Linked DNA regions of Alligator mississippiensis. The protein of the gene in region 1 interacts with the protein of each later gene in a pairwise test. Links are inferred from orthologs where the notes say so. Each region holds a gene or a part of one and is shown on either strand. Other genes may lie near its edges.

Region 1 (6,951 bases):
TTTGGGAACACTACCTTCCAAAGGTAAGAAGGTGTAATAGGAGATGTCAAAAAGGTATGGTGGGCATGTATACCATGTAATACCATTATACAACTCCTGTTGTTAGTGATATACACATAGTATTGAAGAGGACTTTCAAACTAATTAATGTTTTGGAATGGGGGAAAAAACCTGTACTCCATCTATGAATGGATCAATGAACCCCAAGAATAGGATGTCAGGTAAAAGAAATAACTTATGTCGCCTGTTGTCCTTGCAGCTCCCCAAAATGGTTCCTGCATATAAGCAGTGGCTACTTTTTGTGGGTTTCTATTTATTTAATTAAAAAAAAAGTTCCAGAAGACATTCACTGTCAAATTATGGCTATAAGCATTTGTTTAAATGTTTGTTTATAGACAAATAAAATTGTGAAAGTACAGTATATAGGTTGCCAATGCCACTAATATTTTCATATCTGTATCTATCTTTCCTACAAAGAAACCACCTTATTTCTAAAGACACTTCATCCTGGATGAGAAGCTGGTCAAAGGAATCCATACATTTATCACCTCCAGGTGATAACTCAAAATATCAGGTGAATATGAAGGCAAGGAGAGGCTACAGGTGGTACGTAATGCCACATTATGTCTGCTTCCCCCAGCCCCCTCTGGATCCCAGTGAGCTTCTGATGCCAGTTTCTGGTCATGGTGCTAATTTCCAAAACAATTAATGGCTCAAGTCCCAGCTGCATCAAAGATCAAATTTCAGTTTCTCAGATACTGAGCCATACTCATCTGGGACACAGCAGCGTAGAAAATTTAGGACAAAGCATACAAGAGCTGGGGATAAAGCATTCACTGTCAAGGGAATCTTCGTACAGAACAGACTTCCAGAGATCAAGTGAGACCCGAGTCTGACCAGCATTGGGAAATTTTGCAAAATTTTCCTCTTCATGAAGCTTGTCACTTGCAGGGTTAGCTGTGCACCTTCTGGTTCCTTTCTGGTTCCTCTCAGTTTATCCCTTATGCCTCACTGAGTGCAGGTTTCATACTTTTACCTCTCCTGCAGTGGTATTCTACAGTTCTCCCGTTCTTAAACTGGGCCTCTTGCTACAGATTTTCTCTCGACCATGCATATCCAACATGGTTTGGTATAGTTCAACCAACTGGGTTTAGCACCTGGAGCTTTTTTCTTCCATGAGCCCATGACAAGTGGCGAATACAGTGACTACACTGGCCTTCTTAAACCAAAACAATTTAATCCTAACAATAGGAATAAAGCATTTAAGAAAATTATTATAAAACAATAGTCACTTGCTCTTTCTTGTATCTAGAGTCCTATCATCTTGTGATGTGGGGCCAGGCAGGCCTAATTTTTTTAGGTTCCCTAGCAGATCTTGTTAGTTAGCCTGAACTGCTCAGTAGCAACCCACTGACCTCTGGAAAGAAAGGTAGGAGGCAGGATAGATTCACACCTTAAAAACTAAATACCAGTAAATCACTCAGGTATGCATAGGCTTTCATAAGCATCACCTTATTTTATCAGAAGCTATGGAAGGACTCGTATCCAGATCCGAGCATTGAACCCACATGGCAAAACAATATTTTTAACTTAGCTGGAAATGTGAGGAAACATCTTTAGAGCTATTAGGTCAAACATTGTCTTAACCACCCTGGGATGCTACATGGGTGCAGCAGGGTAGACGGGGTGGCTTATCTCCAGCCATGGTTTCACTTCCTGCTTTTATTTCTTACAACTTCCTATTAAACTAAACCAGCGGTGACCAAACTGCAGCTTGAGCTGCCTGTGGTTTCTAGGCGGTTTAAACGCAGCTCCTAAAGACAGAGTCAAAATAAAAATATTCTTTTTCTATCTGTCCAATTCTTTCTTTCTGGTTTTGCTTTTCTTCAGGTCTTGTTTATTGGTTATTCTAAGCAGTCATTTAACAGCACATATTTACGCTGGAACACTTTGCACAGATAGCTGACGGGTATGTACATCCTGAAAGTTTTGCACCTTGCAGCTCCCAGTCGTGTCAAGGTTTGTGGGTAGAAGAGTTAGGAAGTTGAGTCACCCCTGAATTAAACCAACATACCCATGCAGTAAACATCCCAATATCTAGGTCACATCAGACTTAATAATTATTGTATGTCATGGCATCGCCACATTATCACAAAGCCTTTCTGTTGTAAGTGATAATTGCATTTCAAACATATTTATTCCCAACCTGCCCATCCCCACCATAAAACCTACTGGCAGCAGAATTCCAGCAGGGAGAAGTGCTAGAGATCCCGTGAAGTCCCCTAAGGACTTTGTGGTTGCTACTGGTTTCAGATGGAAGGGACTGGGGAGACCAACCAGGCAAACTCCCGTTGCTCCAAAAAACAAATGTTTTCCCTCACCTGGGCCTGTAGCCTTGCATATTTAAGGTAAAATAAAGAGGAAAGATGAAATCTTTTATTCCACTAAAACTTATGTCATTAATAGTCGTGTTCTAAATTTGGGTTTTAAATATTCATGACCATTCATGGGATAGCCAGAAACATTTAACTGTATATTTTACTTTGCAAGGAAAAAAAAAAGTTGTTAACTACAGGGCTGGTCATACGGCGTGCCTTGAAGTTAATGGTAAATAAAGAAAGCTTGAAAGTTTGATTTACAAATATAAAAACAGCAGGAGAGGGATCCTGCTTATTTTCCCCATATGGGATGCACTTCTCGTCTGTCCTGAAACACCTTATGTGGGTCTCTGCATTAGACTGTTTTCTCTTAGGTTACCAATTGTGGGGCACTCGAGTAGACCAAATACTTTAACTGTCCTACCACGTAACCGTTCAAAGCTAAAATGGTGGTTAAAATATTGATTATATGATCACTCCTACCCTGGGAACCGCACCGGGAGATGCACGGCCGGTGCGGTGGCAATTTTACAAATGCCAGAGCGAAGGGATCAGGTCCTGACCTCATAATTGTTACTAACTCCATTTGGTCCAAGATTTTATACAAGAACGTCGATAACTCGAGAAATTGTGGCTGTCCCACGCATGGCGATGAATATTTATTCATGAATATTCAAAACCCAAATTTAGGACGTGAATATTAACGAACATACGTTTCAGTGGAATAAAAGATTTCATCTTTCCTTTTTCCTCTACTTTAAACACGCAAGGCAACAGGCCCAGGTGGGGGAAAACATTTTTATGTTTTTTTTGGAGACATGGTTGTCTCCCCAATTCTGTTTATATGAAATCAGCAGCAACAGCAAAGTCCTTAGCGGTAGGGTGGCCCTCGTGGAGGACAGTCCGGTTTTCTGCTACTCCGTCCTCTACGGATACAAAACCGGACGCTTTTACGTCCTGTTTTTCTTCGGAAGAAACCCAAATTTAGGACGCGAATATTAACGAACATAAGCGAAGAGAAAAATAGAGGACATAAGAGGCACTGGGTTTCGTATCCATTGAGGAAAACCAGACTGTCCTCTATGATGGCCACCCGGCCTAGAGGCCTTGGCGGCGTGGAAGGAGCCAGCCAGATTACTTGAACGTCTTGGACGCGTCGATCCAGCGAGGCGCTCGGGTCGGTCTGGCTGACGTGGGTCCAAGAAAAGACGTCGGATTTACCCCAAAGAACCGTCCCCGATGCTTTTCGAATGACATCGCCGTGGCCTTTGAAGGGCAGGACGCCTCGCCACCAAGAGGCTTTGCCCGCCCCAGGTTTTCCCTCATCCGGATGGCCACGAAGACAAGGAGATCATGGGAACCCCTTCGAGAGGCAGACACCTCACGAGGAAGGGGCTTTGTCCGCCTCCTCGCACACAACGAGAGGGCCGAGAGGGCGATGTGGTGGAACAACCCTCCTGTCTGGGGGGGAGGCCAGGCCGGGCCGGGCCCCGATGGCGCACGGAGCCGGCGGGGGGAGGGGGAGGGGGAGGGGCGGGGCGGGGCGGGTGACCGGGAAGCAGAAGCGCCGCCAACCGCCGGGCGGGCGGGCCGCACCTGGCCCCGCCGCTGCCCTCCCGGGGGCGGGGAACCGAGTCCCGGCCCCGGAGCGCAGCGGAGCCGCGCAGGCAGGGGCGGGCATGAGCGCCGGGCCCTGACCGGAGCGGAGCGGAGCGTCGCGCCGCCGCCGCCCGGGGCGGGGGAAGATGGGGAACTGCCTCAAGTCCCCCACGTCGGACGACATCTCCCTGCTGCACGAGTCGCAGTCGGACCGGGCCAGCTACGGCGACGGCGCCGAGCCGGACCAGGAGCCGCCGCCGCCATATCAGGTACCGGGGCCGCCGGCTGTGACTCGGCAAAAGCGGTCGGGCTGAGCGGGGCTGCGCCGGGCCGGGCCGGGCCGGGGGCGCGGGGAAACCTCCCGCCGCCGCCGCCGCCGCCTTTGTTGTCTGGGCGCGGACACGGGGGGGGTGGGACTGGCGCGGGCCCTTCAGGCGGCGCGAGCCCGGGGCTCCCCGGGGGGGTTTGCGCCCTGCTAAGGGCCGCAAGGACAGGCGAGCCCGCACCGGCTTTGCCCAGGCAGTGTGGGGGCCCCCCTCCCCCCGCGTGGGGTCGGCGCCTGCCAGCCCCCCTCACAAAGTCACCGACTGCCAACCGGCCAGAGCCGCGCGGGGTCGCCGACTTCAACCGGCGAACGCCGTTCAAAAAGTCACCGACTGCCAACCGGTGAGAGCCATGCAGGGTCACCGACTGTCAACCGGTGAGCACCGTTCAAAAAATCACCGATTGTCAACCGCCAAGAGCTGCACGGGGTTGCCAACTGTCAACCGGTGAGCACCATTGAAAAAGTCACCGATTGTCAACCAGCGAGAGCTATGCAGGGTTGCCGACTGTCAACCGGTGAGCACCGTTCAAAAAATCACCGATTGTCAACCGCCGAGAGCTGCACGGGGTTGCCAACTGTCAACCGGTGAGCACCATTGAAAAAGTCACCGATTGTCAACTAGCGAGAGCTATGCAGGGTCGCTGACTGTCAACCGGTGAACGCTGTTCAAAAAATCACCGATTGTCAACCGCCGAGAGCTGCACAGGGTTGCCAACTGTCAACCGGTGAACACCATTCAAAAAGTCACCGATTGTCAACTGGCGAGAGCCACGCGGGGTTGGCAACTGTCAACTGGTGAACGCCATTTAAAAAGTTGCCGACTGTCAACCGGTGAGAGCCGCTCAGGGTCGCCGATTGTAAAACAGAGCAGTTCAAAGCACCAATTATAAAACAGTAAAAGCCATTCAAAAAGTCGCCGGTTATAAAACGGTAAAAGTGGAAATGGCAAAGAGGGAAAGAGGTTTTTAAGACGCGGGCTGACAAAGCCTTGGCTGATGGGGTTGGCGATGGTCGTGCTCGGAGCAGGCGGTTGGACATGGGGTGACCTCCTTGAGGTCCTTTTGCAGCCTTATTTTCTAGGACTGTTCTCAGGAGAAATACATCATTGAAGTGGATGCGATGGCATGTTTTTTCACGGGGAAAAATAACTTCATTACATCTTCAAACTAATGGGTCGTTGGTTTTTTGTCTTCTTACACCAGGTTTGATATAACAGCATATCTCTCTGAGAAATCTACTGTGAGATGTGTTTGAGATGTCAGTCTTGAAGGGAGATCTGATAGCTCTTTATTTGATCAGATAGGAGTCATTCAGCAGTTGCAGAATCGGCATATAATTAACCAAATTGCAGGAAGTATTTAACGGGGTAGACCTGTCATCTGCAAATGCTTTATGAAGTCAAGAATGATAGATCGGATAGGATTTTTTTTTTCTTTTTGGTGCTCAAGAGCAGGAAGTGTAGTTGTCACTGATGGATGCAGTGAGACAACAGTGCTGTTACCTGGCAGGCAGGAGTTGTTTATATTTTCTACACATGCAAAAGATACTGAATAACTGTTTTAATATAAAATCCTCCTATGAGGAACTCTTCCTAGTTCTCAATTGCACCTACTCAAGTCCAGTGAATTTAAAGGAAGCACAATGACATTATTTAAAGGACAAATCACCCTAAACGAACCCTGCACCATCTGTTCGGATTAAGAATGCAAGAATTTTTTCTGTAAATCGACACGTAATATATGAACAAAATCTAGCGGTCTATCCTATGCATTACAAATACAACGTGCGTGTGTAATCTCCAGGCACTATTTTTTTTTTTTTAACAGCCTCTGAGCATTATTATGATTTCCTCTTCAGAATGGTCAAGAGTATATTATGTAAATGTTGCAGGCCTTTCCAGGTTGATTAGAGAAACAAACTCGTTTGCCATTCAAGCTTTCTGGGAGATTTTTTCTCCTTTCTAATGAACATGTTTTAGGAACCAGGAGGGGTAGGTAGGTAGGTTGGTTGGCTTTGCTGTCTATTCTTTTTTGTCAGTTATTTAAAAGTTCTCTTATTGAGTCCTGGCAGTGAGTTTATATCAAAGCCAGCTCACTTTATTAACTATATTCACAATTCTGCATATCGGCTGCTGTGTTCTCCTGTTTTGATATTCTTTGGTTACCTTTACATTTATATTTTAAAATTTCTATTCAAGTCAGGAGAGTGTAGGGGGGGAATGGTTACTTTAATGCACCATTACTTTTTTGGTATTTCTGAACTGTACGTTTGAAAGTCAGAGGCATGGCTCCTACAGCTGCAGCTGAGTCATAATACCTTAAGGAGAGAGTGTGTGTGTGTGTGTGTGTGTGTGTGTGTGTGTGTGTATTGCTACATACAGTAATACAATACACGCTGAAGGGGACTACATTTAAAATTGAGGGAATCACTTTTGAACGATCTGATCTTCCATGCATTTACATTCCCAATCACGAGTCTGAATTCGAATTGTCACTGAACAGCTCAATTTAAAATAGCTGCTTAACGCTATTGTAGTGAAATATAAGGAATTCCATACACTTAGTGCTGTTCTTTTTGTGGGGGGGAAAAATGTCACATTTGGGCTACAAAATTGCTTGAACAGTATCAGGTTCTATGATGTAAGAGTGG
Region 2 (6,846 bases), on another chromosome or scaffold:
CACCGGTGGTCTGGTGGCAGCAGAAGTGTTAGCACAGATTGTCTGTCTGGCGCTCCCGCCACTACGTAGAATAGCTCTGGCGGTGGCAGCAATTCTAGATGACCTGGAACTGGTCTGGGTTAGCACTTCTACCAAGACTGTCATTGGAGACTTAAGATGTGCAAGGTAACCCAGGCTCCCATCACTGGACTTCAGTTTAGCAAGGAATGCAGTTGGCCATATACCAAATGCTGCCTCATTCAGATGGCCTATTCCATGGATGGCTGCCCAGTGTCTCCCAAGACTAGATAGCCTGCTATGCCTACAGGCATCTGGCACTGCCCTCTTATTCATCCATCTCTGCTTACAGTCATGTTGTAGGTAGGTATTTCCACCTTTACTACAGCCAGTTAAACTCCAGCTGCACCAAGTCGAACTCGGTTGAAAGAGGAAATTCATGTGCTCTTCCCTAAATGAGCTAGATTTTTTTTCACTCCATTTCCCTAATGGAAGTACGCATTCATTTGTTCCAACCCTTTCAAATGACAGGAGTTAGTAAATGATCACCAGAAGGCTTCTGCCTGTAATTTGCCAGTGCAGGCAGGTACAGTGATGTACCCATTCAGGGTTATCTTCCCTTACTATAAATGACAATTCAGTGGGTAAGGGGACCTCTCCTCCAACTCTTCCTTTCCAATCCCAAATGAATTACTCTGCCACCTGAACTACACCCTTTTATTGTAATTTGCTTGCCTGGCTGGTTTTCAGCTGTGTGCAAGTGTGACTTATATTAAACATTTTTCAGAGGATAAGTTAAGCCCTAGAGTGGAGTTCAGATGCTTGAAGTATTAGAGAGAAGATCCAGACTTCATGCACTGCTTTATCAGATATACATGATCAATGAAACAAGAAACCACAGCAATACTAGAAAGTCTGAAAGATAAATCTTAAAAAGGAAGGATTTGAATGAATAAAAGCCAAGCAGTGTGCTTTACTTTGCCTATTGCACCTGAACCTGTTATCTAACTTTACAGTCCAAGGTAACTATAAATTTATGGAGTCTTCCTTTCACTGCAGCCAGTAGTCTCCCTGGAAATCGCAGCGTATTTTCCTCCCTGTTCTGCCTGAATGACATCCTATATATAGAGAGAGATTCACAGAGTTGGCTCAGCAAACAGATTGTAACATCTACAGCTATTGTACCTCCAAGTGACAATCCACAGATGAAAATAAGCAGTGAGGAAAATCTGCTATTGGGAGACAAGGCATTAGAAACCAGCATAACATATGTTCTGGAAATCAAACAGCAAGAGTTTGGGGTTAGTCATAAATATCCTTGCCTTGCTTCTCATTCCTGAATATGCTTAAAGTGATAGAACCCTTGGAGTGAAAATGTCAGGCTGCCTGGTTCCCAGTTGAGGTATGAATTAATTAACAAATGCTTTTCCAGACTGTGGAAAGCACTACACACAGGGTTATCAGCTGTGGATTGAAGGGCTAGATAGTGACATTTCATACCATGCATGAAAGAATAGGCAAAGTTCAATAAAATCTGTGGTTTAAAATCCATAGATTCTCTTCCACGTGCAAGACTGGCTGCTTTGAAATCCAGTCTGAATATACTTACAAGAGGAAAACTTGAAACAATTGTGCCTGGCCACTTGGCTGTCCCTGTGGTTCAGACACCTTCACATGCATTTCTGCTTGCCTTGATTTACTTTTTGCTCCAAAAGAGGGGGAGCTTAGAAAGTGTGCTGTCTTAACTTATGTGAGGGGTGAGCCATGCCACTTCCATCTACCAAGCACAGATGATGATCTCAGCTTAAATAGAGTTAGGAGCAAAGCACAACCCAAGCGTACATTACCCTGCTTCCAGTTCAATAAATCAGCCAGGTTGGGGAACTAGGTCATCTCCTTGCCTGCAGAAAAGAAATGCTAACATTTGCGATGCTACCATTTGTGATTTAATAGTATTTACAGAGTCTGTCGGGCTGAGCTACTCTCATGTAGCCCCTCATCTGCTCGCAGTATGTACCTAAATAGCCAGGCGTTTCAGTCTCAGTGCGACTGGGAGCATCAAAATGAGCCTGGCCCAGTGAGTCTAACATTGAATCAAGTGATGGCATGGAGGTGGGATGAGACTAAAACCACTTCTTGAGGGTGGGGTTTTTGGTTGTAGCCACATTGGGCTAAGGACATAGGCAGGCAAGGGTTGGTTTTTTTTTTTAGTAGATGTGTATATATTATACAAGTAATAATTCCCCCCTCAAGAGAGAGGCAAGGTTTTTTGAGTAATGGGATATCTTTTATTAGACCTAATAGAAGATATCACAGCTGTGTACTCAGTTGGTCTAATAGAAGATATCATATCTACTCAAGAAACCTTGCCTACCTCTTGGGGGGTGAACTAGTATTTATATTATGCTGACTATACTGTAATTATCTGGGTGGGAGCCTGAGGTAGGACACAGGGCTCTTTGGAAAGGCCCTGTCCCATCTTCCTCAGCAAAGGGTGATGCTATTGGATCTGCCATTTATATGGGGTCTGATATTAGGAAGCCCTGGACCCTAACGAGGCCGATGGCGTGCAGAGATTCATAAGGGAGGCGAGGCACCGACCTGCACGTCCAGCCCCAGTACCTAAGCATAACAGATATTTTGGGGAGTGATGTAGCCCAGATGGTTTGGGAACGATGCGAGAGTAGACTTGCCGAATCGGTTTGAATCTATTCTGGGAGGTTTCTGGAGTGCCAGCACGCCCGTGACACGCAACGCAAATGTGCCCACCTGCTTGCATATAATAATTATGGATGGCAGGGCACAGACTTTACATGGGGAAGGTGAATTCACACGACTGTCGGACTTTAAAATCTACTGGACTGCTGCGTACCTCAGATTCAACCTCGTATACAGGTAGTCCTCAATGTACAAGGTTTCGAGTTGCAACATTTTGCACTTACGACGTTTATAAATTGACACCGTTTCAACTTTCTGACCTCAGTTTTGACTTCACAGCGCTTGATCAGATGTGATGCCGCACCAGCGAAGAAGTTTGCTGCATCGCCCATCTCCTTGGAGAACACCTGTCCCAGCTTCCTAGGGCACTTCCTTTAAAAAGGCAGCCGAGACTCCCGAGAAGACTCCAGCCGAGAGCCCTTCAAAAAGTCCAACAGACTCGCCTCAGAGAAGTCCTTCCAAATCAATGTGATTGCTATTTACAGTAGAAATACATTAATGTAGCTATAGTACTCATCTATAATTGATTGAGTACAAAAGGCTGGGATGTTTTTGGTGAAAATAAGGTACCGGGCCTTGATTCGGGAACCAATCCCCCATTTATAACATTGTTTCTTATGAGAAAATCAGTTCCGAGTTGCACCGTTTGGACTTAAGATGCTGTTTTCAGTAGCCAGGTGTGTCATAAGACCAGGGACTGCCTGTATAGATTTTACATCCAGAAGGTGTGTGCACACGACGGTCGTGTGTTAAAACCTGGACCGCTGCATACATCAGATTCAACCACAGGTATGCATTTTCATGCACGCCCTATCATTTGTCTCCTGGGGATCGCATCTAATGCCTGCAGCCTCCAGACCAGCCCTGGACGGTGTGCAGACACACCTAGCGGCTGCAGCCTCCTGCAGGCGCGGCCGCCCCGCGTGGGAGCCAAGGGCTTTCTTCAGGGGGCGCAGCTGTCTTCCCGCCGGCGCCTTCCGCTGGCGGCCCCGCCCCTAGGGTGTGGCACCGCCCCCCGCGCGCGCGGACCTCACCAACATGGTGGCGCGCCGGCGTCATGACGTGCGCGGCCTGGGGGCGGGGCGAGCGCGCTGTCCTGGGCCGGGCCGGGCCGGCGTCGAGCGGCGGCGGCGGCGGCTGGGCTGGGCCCGGATGGGGGCGGCGGCCGCGGGGCTGCGATGTCGACCCCGGGGACGCGTCGGAGCGGCTCCAGCATCAAGATCCGGCTGACAGGTAGCGGCAGCGGGGCTGACCGTTATTCCCCCCCCCCCCACCACCACCCCCTTGAGCAGGCCGGGCCTGGGGGGTCTACCCGTCCGCATCGCCGCAGGCCGCAACCTCCCCGCGGGCGGCTCCTGAGGGGGGCCGTGCTGCGGAGTGAACTTCCTCGGGGGCAGTGTCCGGGGGGGGGGGGTCCACGTCCTTTGCTTTCCCTGCCCACGCCGGCGAGGGTGCGTGGCTGGGGGGCGCGCCGGCTCCTCCACGCGAGGCAGCGATCCGCGCGGGGCGAGGCTCCCGGCTTGGCAAGGCAACAGGTGCCTCCTGGAGCATCGCCCTGCCCGGGGGCGCCGTGCCCGGGACGTGGGCGCCCGCGCTTCTCTGCCGGGCGTGTGAAAGGTGGCGGGTTTAATAACGAGTCGGTGGCGGGACTGCCACGCGCCGCACGCGCCTCTGGGCAAAACCCCCCATTCTTCCCGTGGGTTTGGTTGGTCTCGGGACACACCTTGCTTGCCCCGGAGAACTAACGAATGGATTTCTTTTTAAAAAAAAAAAAAAGTATTTTGTGGAGACGGGTTACTCATTTCTTCCCTTGCGAAGCGAGCGCGTGTCGCTTGCTGGGCGCCGGCGCGGTTCTCAACTGGGGCTGGACTCGATCGGCCGAGGTCCCTCCCGGCCCTAACATCGATATAGGTTCGCTCACATACCTGTCTCTGACACAGCAGTGTAGATTTTTTTTTACCGATCGAGAAGGAGCCAAGGGATTGGTGTGTAATGCACCCGCAATCCCCCTCCGAACACGGCAGCGACAGTAAATGGGACCAGAAGTTACTTGTTTTGCCCGTTCCGGTGAATGCTGCGTCAGATGGCTTGTCTCTTCATTTTTGCTTCGTGCCGGCATGAACTTACTTTCATAGTGAAAATCATTTTGTAGAGAGCCGACGGATGTAAGGGCTAGGATTGCTTCTGTGTCCTGTTTCTCGGTAGCAGTCTTTAAAATACATTGAGGAAATATCCGACCTGGTCAGCCACCTCTTTGTTTTTATTAACAGAAATCTCTAGTTGGTGAGTCAACACGTGCAGTATTTTGTCTGCAAAAGAATTGCTTCGAGAGAGAGTTTTCACTTCAGAAACATTAGTAAACGTTTCACTTCTGACTTCCTTGGAAATTTGCTTGTTGGCTGATCTGCTTCAAAGAACTGTAGCTAATATGCCTTTTGTTGTTAAATTCTGTTTTGGTTTTGAGAGATTTGAGCTGAATTATAGTAAACGCAGACCATCTTTTGTTATGATTGACCGCTTACATCACATTTCCTATGACTGAATTTGCAGTTTGTTTTCCCACAATTTTAAACAATCTCTGTTTTGCACTACTGAACATTGCTGTGTAAATACCACTAAGATTGAAGCTGCCTCCAAGAGCCACTCCATAAATGAGATGTGAACATTGGTGTACACTTTCAGTGTTTAAGAAAGTGAACTTTGCTTTGGCACTTTCTAAAAATATTTGCATTGGGGGGTATTTATCTTATCCTGTCCTAAATTCTAGCTGCTGTGACAACAATTAAGAACATAGCTGTAGTTTGGATAGAAGATTTTGGAAGCTACCATGACGCCTAACTATAACTTAAAAAAAAAAAAAAAAAAAAGTAAATCTCAAGTCCATTTTAAAACAAAAAACCTTAGCAGCAACAAATAAGAACCAGTCAGCAGAATAAAATGATCTCACCTCGTACTCGCTTCCTAGATGCTCTCATCTCCCGTCATATGCCAACTTTCCCCCCAAGCCCTGTGCAGATAAGGCTGCCATTGTCATTGCTTCTCGTAATAACCGCGGTGAAAATGCTAATGTAGATAAAGAATACAAAATTGTTATGAGCCCTGTTGTCTTCACTGCTTGGAGCAATTTTGCAATGGTGAAACTTTTTTTTTTTTTTTTAAGTTAGAAAAGTTTCCAACAGGGTTTGTCAGTTTGCGTTTGCAAGCTGTCTGTTCACAATGTCTTGGGGTCAACAGAGGGTTGCATTTGAAAGACCAGAAAACCCTCATATATGTGCAAATAGTGTCCAATCTAACTGATAGGATTCTACCCCTGACACCCTTGCTGTTGGCTAGCGTCACGTGGAGGTGGTCTGTCAGAGGGACGGATTCCAACACAGTATAACATTTTGTTCAAATTTCACAAGCACTTGGAGACCCCAGTGAAAACTGGGGTTTCACGGTGCCAGACAGTAGCAAATAAAGATGGTTTGCACGCGATTTGGGGTAGAGACTGGGATGATAAGACAGATGATGAAGAGTAGGGAAGAGGAAGGTGATGCATATTTTTCATGTGTATAGCTTTACTATTTTTTATGTTTTATAATGAAATTGCTTTTGCCTTTTTCTAACTGCTGCCCAGCCTAGCAGTAACAGTTGAGAAGGCGATTTAAAAATGGAGTAACAACAATCTTATGGGTCAGTTCGGAGGAAAAGGCTTTGTATATGAGAGCCACCATGGAAGAAAACGTAAAGAGCTTTGTGGGAAGAATGGGCAAGTTGGTAGTTAAGGCCACTTTAATTGGCCAAAGAAAGGGAGTTTAAGACAATACTAAAACTCAAAGAAATTAAGAGCCACAGAATTAGGAAGGGCCTTGAGAATTAAGCCTGTAACTTTTTTAAAAATTGATATGAGGGTAGCAGGAGAGATCAGAACAGTATAGTTTTAGTCTTGTACAGACTGAGAAGGTATAGACATTGGGAGTATAGGTAGGAATCCTTGCCATCCTGACATGAGGAAAAGGTTAGATTTAGAAACATTCTGGAGGAACAAGCCTTCAGATTTGGAGGAAACCTAGACTTATTAGATAAAAGGAATCAAAGACAATGCCTAGGCTATAGGACTAATTTTATAGAAAGCTGGTGATGGTAGTT

The links. The genes of interacting proteins can lie anywhere in the genome.
Region 2: the proteins of RNF11 (region 1) and SMURF1 interact in binary tests that used the Homo sapiens proteins (3 or more experiments, as listed by UniProt). The link is inferred for Alligator mississippiensis from reciprocal best matches to the Homo sapiens genes RNF11 and SMURF1.

The regions. Positions count from the first base shown.
Region 1 is NC_081828.1:8,256,253-8,263,203, forward strand, and holds the start of RNF11 (RING finger protein 11), read left to right. Parts: upstream 1-3,950; 5' UTR 3,951-4,123; coding exon 4,124-4,246; intron 4,247-6,951. UniProt on the Homo sapiens protein: Essential component of a ubiquitin-editing protein complex, comprising also TNFAIP3, ITCH and TAX1BP1, that ensures the transient nature of inflammatory signaling pathways. Promotes the association of TNFAIP3 to RIPK1 after TNF stimulation.
Region 2 is NC_081836.1:53,529,004-53,535,849, reverse strand, and holds the start of SMURF1 (E3 ubiquitin-protein ligase SMURF1), read left to right. Parts: upstream 1-3,824; 5' UTR 3,825-3,893; coding exon 3,894-3,948; intron 3,949-6,846. UniProt on the Homo sapiens protein: E3 ubiquitin-protein ligase that acts as a negative regulator of BMP signaling pathway. Mediates ubiquitination and degradation of SMAD1 and SMAD5, 2 receptor-regulated SMADs specific for the BMP pathway.